Linked DNA regions of Anolis sagrei. The protein of the gene in region 2 binds, or shares a complex with, the protein of the main gene of each other region. Links are inferred from orthologs where the notes say so. Each region holds a gene or a part of one and is shown on either strand. Other genes may lie near its edges.

Evidence for each region. The genes of interacting proteins can lie anywhere in the genome.
Region 1: MKS1 (region 2) and TMEM107 share a complex: the UniProt entries of both Homo sapiens proteins name them as parts of the tectonic-like complex. The link is inferred for Anolis sagrei from reciprocal best matches to the Homo sapiens genes MKS1 and TMEM107.

Annotation. Positions count from the first base shown.
Region 1 is NC_090026.1:7,267,611-7,275,090, forward strand, and holds the start of TMEM107 (transmembrane protein 107), read left to right. Parts: upstream 1-4,447; 5' UTR 4,448-4,583; intron 4,584-7,247; 5' UTR 7,248-7,278; coding exon 7,279-7,365; intron 7,366-7,480. UniProt on the Homo sapiens protein: Plays a role in cilia formation and embryonic patterning. Requires for normal Sonic hedgehog (Shh) signaling in the neural tube and acts in combination with GLI2 and GLI3 to pattern ventral and intermediate neuronal cell types.
Region 2 is NC_090031.1:28,096,106-28,103,646, forward strand, and holds the start of MKS1 (tectonic-like complex member MKS1), read right to left. Parts: upstream 3,074-7,541; 5' UTR 2,975-3,073; coding exon 2,895-2,974; intron 1,676-2,894; coding exon 1,572-1,675; intron 1,485-1,571; coding exon 1,417-1,484; intron 517-1,416; coding exon 361-516; intron 282-360; coding exon 184-281; intron 1-183. Other genes in the region: RABGEF1 (rab5 GDP/GTP exchange factor), read left to right, coding at 5,998-6,176. UniProt on the Homo sapiens protein: Component of the tectonic-like complex, a complex localized at the transition zone of primary cilia and acting as a barrier that prevents diffusion of transmembrane proteins between the cilia and plasma membranes.

The DNA.
Region 1 (7,480 bases), on a different chromosome or scaffold from region 2:
CCACACTGGGCATGCATACTCAGCAGCAGATTAGCACAGTGCAAGGGTGGATGTCTTCACTGTGTCTGGTTGTGATCCCCAGGTTGTGCCAGTCAGCTTTCGTATGATATTGCTTCTAGCACCCCCTTTTTGCTTGATATTTAGGCAGTGCTTCTTGTAGGTCAGAGCACGGTCCAGAGTGACTCCCAGGTATTTGGGTGCGCTGCAATGCTTCAGTGAGATTCCTTCCCAGGTGATCTTCAGAGCTTGGGATGCTTGTCTGTTCTTGAGATGAAAGGCACATGTCTGTGTTTTAGATGGATTAGGGATCAGCTGGTTTTCCCTGTAATAGGCAGTAAGAGCACCTAGAGCTTCGGAGAGCTTCTGTTCAACCATCTTAAAGCTCCCTGCTTCAACAGTGATGGCACAATCATCAGCATAGATGAAACTCTCTTCTGGCAGTGGCTGGTCATTTGTGTAGAAGTTGAACATGGATGGAGCAAGCACGCTCCCCTGAGGCAGGCCGTTCTTCTGTTTCCGCCATCTGCTTCTCTGGCCCTGGACCTCAACAAAGAAGCTCCTGTTTTGTAGCGGGTTTCCTATGAGGCGGGTGAGGTGGTCGTCCTTTGTGATATTATACATTTTTCTCAGGAGAAGGCAGTGGTTTACAGTATCATAAGCTGCTGACAGGTCTATGAAGACAGCTCCTGTGATCTGCTGCCTTTCAAAGCCATCTTCTATGTGCTGAGTCAGGTTCAGCACTTGCCTAAACCAGCACTTGCCACATCATGAAATACAAAATAGCAAATATAACAATTAAAAACATGAACATTAATAAATAAAGATTAAACAGTATACTTACGATCCATTTAGCCTATTGCCAGTCTGGTGGCTATTTATCTAGCCATAAACTAATGATTACTCCGCTTAACTTATCCAAATCCACTTCCAAGCCATAGACAAACATTATCAATTGTCCTTTAACCTAACTGCCCAAAGGCCTGGTCCCACAACCACGTTTTTACCTTCTTTCTAAAGGTGAGGAGGGATGACGATGACCTAATTTCCCTGGGAAGCGAATTCCACAGGCAGGGGGCTACCACCGAGAAGGCCCTGTCCCTCGTCCTCGCCAAGCATGTTTGAGACAAAGGCGGAGCCGAGAGCAGGGCCTCCCCAGAAGATCTTAAGCTCTGAGGTGGGCCGTAGAAGGAGATACGTTTGGACAGGTACGCTGGACTGGAGCCGTATAGGGTTTTATAGGTCAAGACCAGCACTTTGAATTGTGCTCAGAATTGGACTGGCAGACAGTGGAGCTGACACAACAGGGGGGTGGTGTGCTCCCTGTATGACGCTCCAGTGAGTAATCTAGCTGACACCCATTGAACTAATTGCAGTTTCCAAACAGTCTTCAAAGACAACCCCACGTAGAGCGCGTTGCAGTAATCTATTCGGGATGTGACAAGACCGTGGACCACCGTGGCCAGATCCGATTTCCCAAGGTACGGGCACAGCTGGCACACAGGTTTTAACTGTGCAAAAGCTCTCCCACCCACTGCCGAAACCTGGAGTTCCAGGCTCTGCTATGAGTGCAGGATCAATCCCAAGCTGCGAACCTGTGCCTTCAAGTTCCTCTGTAGTTCCTCTTTAGTTCTTATTTTCCCTTTGCTGCATTTTCGTCAATAAAAGTCTGTTTTGTTGCATAAAGAGGAAAATAACAGAAAAGGGAAAAAGATGCAATTCCTGGATTAAAAACATAAGAGTCCCCCCCCCCCCCCCCCCCCAATGTAGCACGGTGAGGCACCAGCATACTTAGGCAGATCTTGTGAAACTATAGCTCCCAGGGTTCCATAAGATTTAGCCTTGGCAGTTAAAGTGGTGTCAAATTGTTTTTTACAGCAGAGGGAAAACAATCAGGGACACCTGGAATATTGTGTCCAATTCTGGGCACCACAATTGAAGAGAGATATTGACAAGCTGGAATGTGTCCAGAGGAGGGCGACTAAAATGATCAAGGGTCTGGAGAACAAGCCCTATGAGGAGCGGCTTAGGGAACTGGGCATGTTTAGCCTGAAGAAGAGAAGGCTGAGAGGAGATACGATAGCCATGTATAAATATGTGAGAGGAAGCCACAGGGAGGAGGGAGCAAGCTTGTTTTCTGCTTCCCTGGAGACTAGGACGCGGAACAATGGCTTCAAACTACAAGAGAGGAGATTCCACCTGAACATGAGGAAGAACTTCCTGACTGTGAGAGCCGTTCAGCAGTGGAACTCTCTGCCCCGGAGTGTGGTGGAGGCTCCTTCTTTGGAAGTTTTTAAACAGGGGCTGGATAGCCATCTGTCAGGGGTGATTTGAATGCAATATTCCTGCTTCTTGGCAGAATGGGGGTGGACTGGATGGCCCAGGAGGTCTCTTCCAACTCTTTGATTCTATGATCTAATCACCTCTCAACAAAAGATTGCTCCAGGCACGCCAGGCCTTCAAACGCTAATCAAGGTGGTCAGTTGAAACATTCTCACCTAGCTCCAGCAGACAATAGTTCTTTGTCCCACCCTGGTCTTTCCACAGATATATAAACCCTTTTTCCCTAGTTCCAACAGACTTCACTACCTCTGAGGATGCTTGTCATAGATGCAGGCGAAACGTCAGGAGAGAATGCCTCTAGAACATGGCCATATAGCCCGAAAAAACCTACAACAACCCAGTGATTCCGGCCATGAAAGCCTTCGACAATAAATCAGGGACATCTAATCACCTCTCAACAAAAGATTGCTCCAGGCACTGCCAGGCCTTCAAATGCTAATCATGGTGGTCAGTTAAAACATTCACACCTAGCTCCAGCAGACAAGAGTTCTTTATCCCACCCTGGTCTTTCCACAGATATATAAACCCATTTTTCTAGTTCTAACAAACCTCACTACCTCTGAGGATGCTTGCCATAGATGCAGGCGAAACGTCAGGAGAGAATGCCTCTAGAACATGGCCATGTAGCCTGAAAAAAACTACAACAACCCAGTGATTCCGGCCATGAAAGCCTTCGACAATACATTGTTTATATTTTTGCAATGCAGGCCGCATGTACACTTTCAAGCAATGCAGCTTGAACTGGATTATATGCGTCTATACTGCCATATAATCCAGTTCAACCTCCATTATAATTGCAATGTATTCTTAGCCACAAAGGTGGACAATTTTGGAACTTGGGGGAATTTTGGAACAGTTCGGATTTGGGGGTAAATTATGCTCAATCTTTCTCTATTATCCATCTGTGTTTGTTTACAATAAACTCTGTGAACCACGTGATTTTCTACTATCCGCAGGAATCAGGCATTTTTTTTTCTCTTTCCCAGAGTAAATATTCCTCCCTGAACAGACATGCGCAGTAAAGACCACCATGGAGCTGTTATCCTTTAGCAACTGTATATATATATTTGGGATTTATAGGAGAGACATTCCACGCAAAATAGATGCGCTGTGAGCAGGATTCGAACCTACGCAGGGAGTCCCCATTGGATTTCAAGTCCAACGCCTTAACCACTCGGCCATCACAGCAGTACACAAGGATACCTCTGTAACCTTTCCAAAAGAAGGCAACTTGGGCAAGAATGTGTTTAGGTACATCTACATTGTTGAATTAAAGCAGTTTGATACTACTTTAACTGCTATGGAAACGTGGGTATTATAGTCTACCATGGTCTTTTTAGCTTTGACTGCCAAAGAGTGCTAACTGCATTAATTAATTGTTTTTTCCCTAAATTTAGAATTATCCAATTATTAGCAATTATCCAAGAGTGCATCTGCACTGCAGACTTAATGCAGTTTGACACCACTTTAGATGCCATGGGACTTGTAGTTTTAAAAAGTCCTTCCTGCTAAAATGGGCTGGTGCCCTACCAAAACTACAAATCCCAGGATTCCAGAGCGTTTGTGAAATGGCACTTAAAGGTATTTATTATTAGTTTAAAACCATTATTTTAAAGTATTTATTTACTTACTATTATTTACTAAAAGTCCTTCCTGCTAAAATGGGCTGGTGCCCTACCAAAACTACAAGTCCCAGGATTCCAGAGCGTTTGTGAAATGGCACTTAATAGTATTTATTATTAGTTTAAAACCATTATTTCAAAGTATTTATTTATGTACTATTATTTACTAAAAGTCCTTCCTGCTAAAATGGGCTGGTGCCCTACCAAAACTACAAATCCCAGGATTCCAGAGCGTTTGTGAAATGGCACTTAAAGGTATTTATTATTAGTTTAAAACCATTGTTTCAAAGTATTTATTTATTTACTATTATTAAAGTCAAACTGCATTAATCCTCCTCCTGAGAAATAGTAATCAGTAATCTCAGCAACTGGAAAAGAGCCTTTTCCTTTGAGAGGAACGAAATGGCAAGCAAGAGGTTAAGAGGATGGGCATTTACCCACAGTCAATATGGTCGACTAGGCTTCGTCACGCTTGGTAAAATCTCGCGATATTCTAGGAAGCGGGCAAAACAGAACAGAACAAGCCTCCCAAGCGGTTGCTATGGGCAACGGCGCGGCCTAGAGTTGAGGCCTTAAAATCGAGCCCTGGGGAAAAATTGAATGTTCCCGCCAAAACAATAGGTGAGTAAAGTGGGGAGGATATGGGGCTCTATTAATTAATTGGTTCATTAATTAATATGATGAATTCCATTAGGAATTGTAGTTGAAATAAAGGACAGGCCTCTTAGGCCTTGAATGGTTATACAGAAGAGGGAATTTAAGCAGATTGTACTGTTTGTACAGCATAGTGTCTAGATCCAGGGAAGTCATGCTCCCCATGCTCTATTCCGCCTTGGTTAGACCACACCTGGAATATTGTGTCCAATTCTGGGCACTACAATTGAAGAGAGATGTTGACAAGCTCGAATGTGTCCAGAGGAGAGCGACTAAAGTGATAAAAGGTCTGGAGAACAAGCCCTATGAGGAGCGGCTTAAGGAGCTGGGCATGTTTAGCCTGAAGAAGAGAAGGCTGAGAGGAGACATGATAGCCATTTATAAATATGTGAGAGGAAGCCACAGGGAGGAGGGAGCAAGCTTGTTTTCTGCTTCCTTGGAGACTAGGACACGAAACAATGGCTTCAAACTACAAGAGAGGAGATTCCATCTGAACATGAGGAAGAACTTCCTGACTGTGAGAGCCGTTCAGCAGTGGAACTCTCTGCCCCGGAGTGTGGTGGAGGCTCCTTATTTGGAAGCTTTTAAACAGAGGCTGGATGGCCATCTGTCAGGGGTGATTTGAATGCAATATTCCTGCTTCTTGGCAGAATGGGGTTGAACTGGATGGCCCATGAGGTCTCTTCCAACTCTTTGATTCTATGTTTAATTGGCAGGTTTTAAATGTGTCAAGTGTCTTCAGGTGCAAGGCTTTGTTTTGTTTTTGAGGGAGCGAGTTATTATAATGATAATAACAATAACAACTATTATTATTATTACAACAATAATAATATTTATTTACTTCATTTATATACCGCTTTTCTCAGCCCTTGGGCGACTCAAAGCGGTTAACAATAGCAAAATTCAATGCTCAACATCATAAAAACAGTTAAAAAACAATTAAAACAATGACATAATAAACAATCAATTAAACATAGCTATAACATCTCGTTAGCGTCTCATAAGTAGAATCGAGATCCAATCTCATCATCCGTTGTTCCATATTCCTATATTCATTACACTGCCTATTTAAATGCCTGCTCCAATAACCAGGTCTTCACTTTCCTCCAAAATGCCAATAGGGAGGGGGCCAATCTAATTTCTGTAGGAAGAGCGTTCCACAGCCAAGGGGCCACCACTGAGAAGGCCCTGTCTCTTGTCCCCACCAGACGTACTTGTGATGCAGGTGGAACCGAGAACAGGGCCTCCCCAGATGATCTTAACGTCCTAGCTGGTTCATAGAAGGAGATGCATTAGGACAGGTAAGTTGGGCCAGAACCGTTTAGGGCTTTATAAGCTAATGCCAGCACTTTGAATTGTGCCTGGTAGCAAACTGGCAGTCAGTGGAGCTGGCGCAGCAGATGAGTTGTATGCTCCCTGAGCACCGCTCCTGTCAGTATCCTGGCTGTCGAACGTTGGACCATTTGAAGCTTCCGAACAGTCTTCAAAGGCAACCCCACGTAGAAAGTGTTGCAGTAGTCTATACAGAATGTAACCAGAGCGTGGGCTACCGTGGCCAAGTCAGACTTCCCAAGGTACAGGCGCAGCTGGCGCACAAGTTTTAACTTACAAGGATGTTTTAAGTTTTACAAATAAACTTTATTTATACCCCGCCACCATCTCCCCAAAGGGACTCGGGGTGGCTAACATGAGGCCAAGCCCAAGGATTACAGTACAGCAAAGTAAAATACAATAGCAAATAATAATAACAAAGTAAAATATATTATAATTATATATTTTATATTACATGTAATATTGCTACTAATATTATAATATAATAGTATAGTACAATATAGTAATATATAATACTTATATTGTACTATGCTAATAATATAATATATTGTATGTATATATATCTTGTAAGCCTCTCTGAGTCCCCTTTGGGGTGAGAAGGGCGGCATATAAATGTCGTAAATAAATAAATAAATAAATAAAATACAAACAAATACACAATAAACAAACACAAAATAAAATAGTGGAAGAATAAAAACAGAGTGGGCAGGCGAAATGCACAGGATAAAATTGATAAAACCCTGGGTGAGATTAGGTAAATGGAATATTGTGTATCTGGGGGAGAACTCAGAAGGGCGAACAATGTGGTTGACCTTCACTAAGGGATGAGAGAAAGTGCATCATGAGGACAGATCTGTACTGGGACGGACATGGTGTGGGGATGATGATGATGATAATAATAATAATAATCTTCATTTGTAGCCCGCTACCATCGCCCCAAGGGACTCGATGCGGCTTACATGAGGCCAAGCCCAAAGTACATCAAACAAAATATCAAAGCACAACATCAATAAGCAATCAATCAATCAAATACAAATAATATAAATCGCATAAACAAAAAACAGTCAATAGTGACATAAACAATTTTAAAAATGGCCGGGCCAAATGTAATAGATTAAAATTGAAAATATGTTGATGTGGACAAGGTAAAATATAACTAGGATAGGATTATCATGTCCACTTAAAAGTTTGTGCCAAGTCCACACCAATCACACAAAATTATTATTATTAGCACCTATCATCCCATGCTAACACTTTGTAGTGATTTGTTTGTTTTTTTCTTGTCCTTTCTGTTGACAGGATTGCATTGCCCTTTGGATGCTTGGAGAGAATGCCTTTGGTCAGCGGAGTGGTACCCGCACGGTTCCTGACCATCACGGCCCACTTGGTCATCGTGATCACCATCTTTTGGTCAAGGGTGAGAGACCCATCCCCATCCTTGGGCTGCCATTCCAGCCTCCTCAAATGTGCTTCCAATTGTTTGTGCTTTTTAAAGACCTCCTCCTGTGTGAAAATGAATTATGCCTCCCTCA
Region 2 (7,541 bases):
AGGAAGATGAGCAGGGGGAAAAGAAAAAGGAAGGGAGGAAGGAGAAGGGGGGGGAATGTAAAGGAAGAAGGAAAAAAGAAAGGAAGGAAGGGAGAAAGAAAAGGGAAGGGATGGAGGCAAAGAAAGAGCCAGGAGGAAGAAGAGAAGAAGAAGAGAGGGATAACTGAAGCCTTTTGGGCCGACCTGGGCCGGCGCTCCTGCCGCCTCCTCCGGACATTGGCCATGCGCTCGGCCAGGTAGGAGGGTTTTTCCTCAGCCGCCGTGGTCACCTTCTGGCAATGCTGCAAGGCAAGAGGAAGAAGGCTCACGGACCCAGCTTCCCTCTCTCAGGGCTCCCCATAGATGAGACGGGCACCATACCTCCTCCAGGTTGGTGAAGCGGTCGTGATCCGTGTAGGTGAAGATGCGGGCGTTGCTTCTCCCGCCGGTCTCCTCCAGCCGCAGGACCTCCCGGTGGTACTGGCGGTCAAGCGGTGTCTGGCAGGCCGCGGCGCTGCGGTAGAGGTCCACCTCGAACTGAGGGCACATGGGACGGAAGAAGGAATGAAATGGTATGATTGGGGCAGAGGAGAAGTGACCACAGAATTTTTTGCTGTACATAAGTATAGAATTGAAAACAGGAGCCATCAGAATGTTATGAGAATATATGGGATATATATATATTAAAAGGTGACTGTGACAATGTTATAATTTATGTGTATATTTATATATAAAGGTCATCCAGTCCAACCCCCTTCTGCTTTAACAGAAGACACTGTCCGATCCCTCCCAACAGGTGGCCATTCAGCCAATAGATAGCCATAGAATGAATGAATATGTGTGTGTGTGTGTGTGTGTGTGTGTTATAGAACCCTACAGTTGGAGGGACCTCAAGGATCATCCAGATAAATGGCCACAGAATATCTATATCTAGGTAGATATAGATATATGAGATATATATTATGTATATCAGAGAATCCTACAGTTGGAGGGACCCCAAGAACCATTCAGTCCAACCCTCTTCTGCTTTAAAGGAAGACACCATCCAAGCCCTCCCGACAGATGGCCATTCAGCCAAAAATAGATGGCTATATATTTATTTACATATATACATATATACGTAGAAATACACACACACATGTATGTATAATATCTATGCATTTGACATAGACTTGCCTGGCGGAAGAGCTTCTCCATCCAAACCCTCCTAACAGATGACCATTCAGCCAAAGATAGATGGCTATACACATATATATGTATGTGTTTATAATATCTATGCATTCGACTTAGACTTGCCTGGCAGAAGAGTTTCTCCATCCAAACCCTCCCAATAGATGGCCATTCAGCCAAAGATAGATGGCTATAGATATTATATCTATGTGCATGTGTGTATCTATAAATATATATATAATATCTCTGCATTCGACATAGACTTGCCTGACTGAAAAGCTTCTCCTGCCATCCAACTACGACCTCTTCGCGCTCCTCCTCCGGACAAGGGGCACCTGAAAGACACAAGAGTAGGCCGACGGGTCAAGCATGCGGCTTTGGCCAATGTGGTCCCGGCCCAAAAGCCCAAAGCAGTCACTCACTTGCCACAGGGCCAAGGGTGGCCAAGCCGATGAGCTGCTGGCCGGAGGAGGCTTGGAGCTGCTGAAGGAGAAGACTGGTAGACGTCACCCGCTGGAGGCCGACCCTGCGTGGGAGGACAAGAAGAGCCAACCTCTCACAACATAATACTACTACTACAAATAATGTGTGTGTGTGTGTTGTGTGTATACATATATATATAATATACCTATCTATATATATAGGTATATAAAATATAGCATACAACATATATCATACATATTATTAACATATAATATTAATCTATAACATGTACAATATATAAAAATTATATTAAAACATTAATCTACAATATATAACATCTATAACAGGTATATAAATAACACTATTAATATAATATTAATCTATAATATATAACATATTATATAATAATAATGTATATAATATTAATCTATATAACATATAATATATAGTAAATAATATTAATATATTACAGTATATAAACCATTAATATGATACACATATATATTATTAACTTATTACAATATAAATCTATAATATATAACACTTAATATATAATACACATTATAATATGTATAACACATAATACGTAATATATAATATATTACAATATAAATCTATAATATACAATATATATAAAATATAATACATTACCAAATAAATCTGTAAAATATAATATTATGACTATAGATTATAAATATATAATATATAACATAATATATAAATAATGTTATAAATATAGAAAAATGTATAATACATCACATATTTTATAAATTTTATTTATAAATAATATTACTATATTACAATAGAAACCTATTATATACAATATTAATAATATTTTACAGTATAAATCTACAATATATACATTATATATAAAATAAATAATATTAATATATTACAATGTAAATTATAATATATACCATACAATTTATAATAATAAATATTATTAAATAAATATAATAAATATTATTAATCTATTTCAATATATAAAATTACTATTATTATTATAAATATATTACAATATAATTTTCTATAATATATAACATACAATATACATAATAAATAATATTAATAAATTTTGAAAATATATTTTAATTTTTTTTTAGTTTCCATATGTTTTCATATGGAAACTGTTTTCATATGTATATGTGTATCTATCTATCTATCTATCTATCTATCTATCTATCTCTGGTTGTGGGAGTCCCTTTCTCCCTGAGGTGTTTTGTTGAAGAAGAAACAGTGGCGCCCAACTCGAGCGAAGGCTCCGGAGTCCGCACTAGGCCTCACGGGAGAAAAGGGGCGATTAAAATGGCGGTAGGCCTCACCGGACGCGGAGGTTGCCGATGGGGTCCCGGGAGCGATAGACGGCGACGCCGGTGTCCTCATTCCACGCCGCCTCTGCCATACCCAGAGCCTTTTTTCTTTTTTTCCTACGCGAGTCTCAGGCTGCGCTGTTCCTGCTAGGCCGCGTTTCCATGGAGACGGCAAGATGGCTGCGGTTCTCAAAAGTATCTGGCTCTATTGAACTCCAACCCCCACAATCCTTTGCGCAGCAGTTAACATTGTAGAGCCCGGCTCTGTCTCCCTGGAGCATCATGGGAGTCGTTGTCCGGTGGGGGAAAAGACCTAGAAACAGAAATGACAGGCATTTGGGAAAGCGGAAGTGACGCCATGACGTCGACGCGCGTATAGAGAAGGCGGAAGAGAGAAGGAAGTAGAGGCTGAGGGAAGGTTCAGAGATAAAGAAAGGAGGAAGGAGGACAAATAGGGGAAAAAGCAGGAGGGTAAGTCTCAGGATTAGTATTATGGTATGGCTTAAGAGTAAGAGTAATAAGAAGAAGAGTGATTTTTGAAAATGTGTATTTATTTATTTATGTGTGTGTGTCTCTTTAAATAGAGAGATATCTATGCATGTATATGCTTTAAGCGCCTCTGTATATCTTTCTGCATGAATAGAAATAAATATAACTTGTGTGTATATCCTATCTTATATATGCAAGTATAAAATGTATAGTATAGAATCAGTGTGAAATAGTATAAATTAAATATAGTATAAAATAAATAAAAATATAGAGTAAAAATATAATATACAATAAATATATAATAACATATAAAATATATAGTATAAAATAAATATAAAATACATGGTATAAAATATAGCACAAATATCTATAAAATAATGTATATACAATATATAGAATATTTATTTATTTATTTGCCATATTTATATACCGCTCCTCTCAACCCAGAGGTGACTCGAGGCGGTTTACAGTTGGCAGTCAATTATTATTATTATTATTATTATTAACTTTATTTATACCTTGCAAAGGACTCGATGCGGCTTACAAAGGCCGCCAACAATACAAAATACAATACACAATAAACTCATAAGCAAATAATAAAACATCAAGCAAAACAGAAAATAGTAACAATGACGCTGTGACGCAATTAAAACCAGGTCGGGCCAAATGTAATGAACACAATTTAAAAGTGCTGGACTTGACAGGTAATATGAGGCGGTATTTGGAGATAGGTGCAAGTGCAGATAATCCTGAATCTCTAAGGTGCATTTGGGACTTAAGCTAGGAGTTTCCTATTCCGGAAAGGCACACTGGAACAGCCAGGTCTTCAGGCTCTTCCTAAAGATAGCCAATGTTGGGGCTTGTCTGATGTCCCTGGGGAGAGAGTTCCAGAGTCAGGGGGCTACCACAGAGAAGTCCCTGTCCCTCGTCCCCACCAAACGCGCCTGCGACAAAGGTGGGATCGTGAGCAGGGCCTCCGAATGATCGAAGGGAGCGTGCGGGTTCATAAACAGAGATGTGGTCGCGCAGGTAGGCAGGTCCCAAACCATTTAGGGCTTTATAGGTAAAAATCTGCACCTTGAATTGGGACCGGAAAATGAATGGCAACCAATGGAGCTCCTTGAACAGGAGGGTTGACCTCTCTCTGTAAGGAGCACCAGTTAACATCCTGGCTGCCACCCGCTGAACTAGCTGAAATTTCCGGGCCGTTTTCAAGGGCAGCCCCACGTAGAGCGCATTACAGTAGTCCAGTCTAGAGGTGATGCCCCCAAACAACATAAATACAGTAAAAAACATTACATATAATATAAACCATATAAAAGCAATAAAACAATAAAAACCATCAAACACAAGCTTTCAGCGTCTCATCACTAAAATCATTTTTCTGTCACATTTTAGTATAAAAGAAATGTAGTATAAAATAAATATGATGAGCACCAACCGCCAGAGTCAGACACAAAACAAAATCTATGCTTATATAGTACAAAAATTAATATAAGCGTATTTACCCATCTGTGTGTGTGTATCTATCTATCTATCTATCTATCTATCTATAACATTTGTGCATGTATTTGATAATAATAATAACTTTATTTTTAACCTACCCTCTCTCCCCAAAAGAACTCAGGTGTTTATGTACACACACACACACACGTGAGTGTATATATATATATATATGTGTGTGTGTGTGTAGTGTATGTATATGTATGTGTGTGTGTGTGTATATATATATATATATAATTTATGTGCTATACATAATATAAATGATGTGCTTATGTACACACACACACATATATATAGAGAGAGATAAATTGTGTGTATATTTGTATGTATATATATATATAAATCATATGTTTATGTATATATATTTAGAATATAAAAATATAAAGTATGCTTATGTACATATATATAAAATACAAAAATATATAAATTGTGCATGTGTGTCTCTATATAAAATTATGTGCATAGATGTGTGTGTGTATATATATATATAATGTAAATTATGTGCTTATGCACATATACCTGTATTTTAAATATGCATGGTATATGTATGTAGGGATTTGTTGAAATGTAGGAATTTGTTGAAATTTACTTTCTAGAAGTAAATTTAAGCTATGTTATTTGTATATAAGTGTGTATATTTTTGTCTGTGTGACTATATGTCAGTATGTATATCCATACCGAGCATTCCTTAGCAGAGTATTAATTTATTTGTAATATACACATTGCACTATGTAACAATTTGAAAAGTGTTCTGTTCGGAAATGTTATTTCCTGTTCAATTGCCTGGCCTTTACTTTGAAAGTAGCTGTTCTACTCCAGAAAGTTTGTTTTTGTGACATTGAATAGATTGGGACCCAATGATGGGATATTCATTGAAAAACTAGAGCAAAAGGTGCTGCAGGAGGTCATGTCAAAACAAAAGTGTGTGCAGTTTAATAAACATTTCCCATGTTTTATAAAATGATAGAACCACTTAGGAAATGACATTGATAACCTAGGAACAAAAATCATAGTGTTACATAGTTGCGTCCTTGGAGCCCACTGCACCATATGGACTTCACCTTGTTCAGCAAAGCCAAGGTGGGTCACTGCTCTGCCCGCCTTCCTCTCTCCCCACAGCGCAATGAGCCTGAAGTCGGAGCGCCGTGGGATCCACGTGGACCAGTCTGAGCTGCTCTGCAAGAAAGGCTGCGGCTACTATGGCAACTCAGCCTGGCAGGGCTACTGCTCCAAGTGCTGGCGGGAGGAGTACCAGAAGGCTCGGCAGAAGCAGATCCAGGAGGACTGGGAGTTGGCCGAGAGGTAAGCCAGCACTGCAAAGCCTTGTCCATCCTTTTTTCTGGCCAGTGGAGCTGCAATGGAGGAGGGGCTGCTGCTTTTGTTGAAGGCTTATTAACAAAAGACCCTCATAAATGTACAGCAGAATAACTTATCAGCAGTGGTGTAACCTAGCACCAGCAGCCCAAAGTGACAAAAAGAGCAAACCACACAGACCAATGCTATGTCTTCCATAGGAGGCTTGTCCTTATAGTAAAATAATATGGTTGCACTATTTACAAGAACAGGGTTTCCATATCCTGAACAAAGTTCTTTATACTTCCTTCTTTGCTTCCATACCGGGTTTCTTTCTCATGCAGATAAACAGAGCCTCTGTTACACAGGAGTTTCCACAGTAGGTTTATACACACAGCAGCCTTCACATTGAAGCTTCACACATGATGGTCTTCAACCTAGGGCTTCTCTCACACAAGCTTTTAATACCAGGCCTTCTTAAACTGAGGCCTACTAATGCTTAGGTCTACACCACACAGAGGCCTTTCTCCCACTGAGGCCTTCTCACACTGAGGCCTACTCATACTGACACCTCTCTCACACACTGAGGCCTACTAATGCTTAGGCCTACATCACACTGAGGCCTTTCTCCCACTGAGGTCTTCTCCCACTGAGCCTTACTCATACTGACACCTCTCTCACACACTGAGGCGAACTAACACTAAGGCCTACATCACACTGAGGCCTTCTCACACTGAGGCCTACCCATACTGACACCTCTCTCACACACTGAGGCCTACTAATGCTTAGGCCTGCATCACACTGAGGCCTTTCTCCCACTGAGGTCTACTCATACTGGCACCTCTCTCACATACTGAGGCCTACTAATTCTTAGGCCAACATCACACTGAAGCCTTCTCCCACTGAGGCCCACTCATACTGACATCTCTCTCACACAGTGAGGTGAACTAACACTGAGGCCTACTCATACTGAGATCTATCTCCCACTGAGACCTCTCACAGACTGAGGGCTACTAAGCAACAGGCACATCTGTTTATATTGAACTGCAGGGTTTTTTTTTTGCGTCATTGCATCCTTTTAACCCTTTCAGTGCTTGACTCACATTTTTGTAATTAATTTCTGGGAGTCCATTGGACTCCCAGACAGTCTATATTCCACTGGATTTGGAAGGAAACCCCTAAGGTAATCCAGTCCAACCACCTTCTTCAAGGCAGGAATATAAATTACTATGCTGTTATTTGTTTGTTTGTTTGTTTGTTTATTTCGTATAGAAAGTATTGCATAAATTAGTATAAAACTGATAAAATAGTATTAGTATTAGATTATTATTATTATTATTATTATTATTATTATTAGCAATAATAATAAAGCCC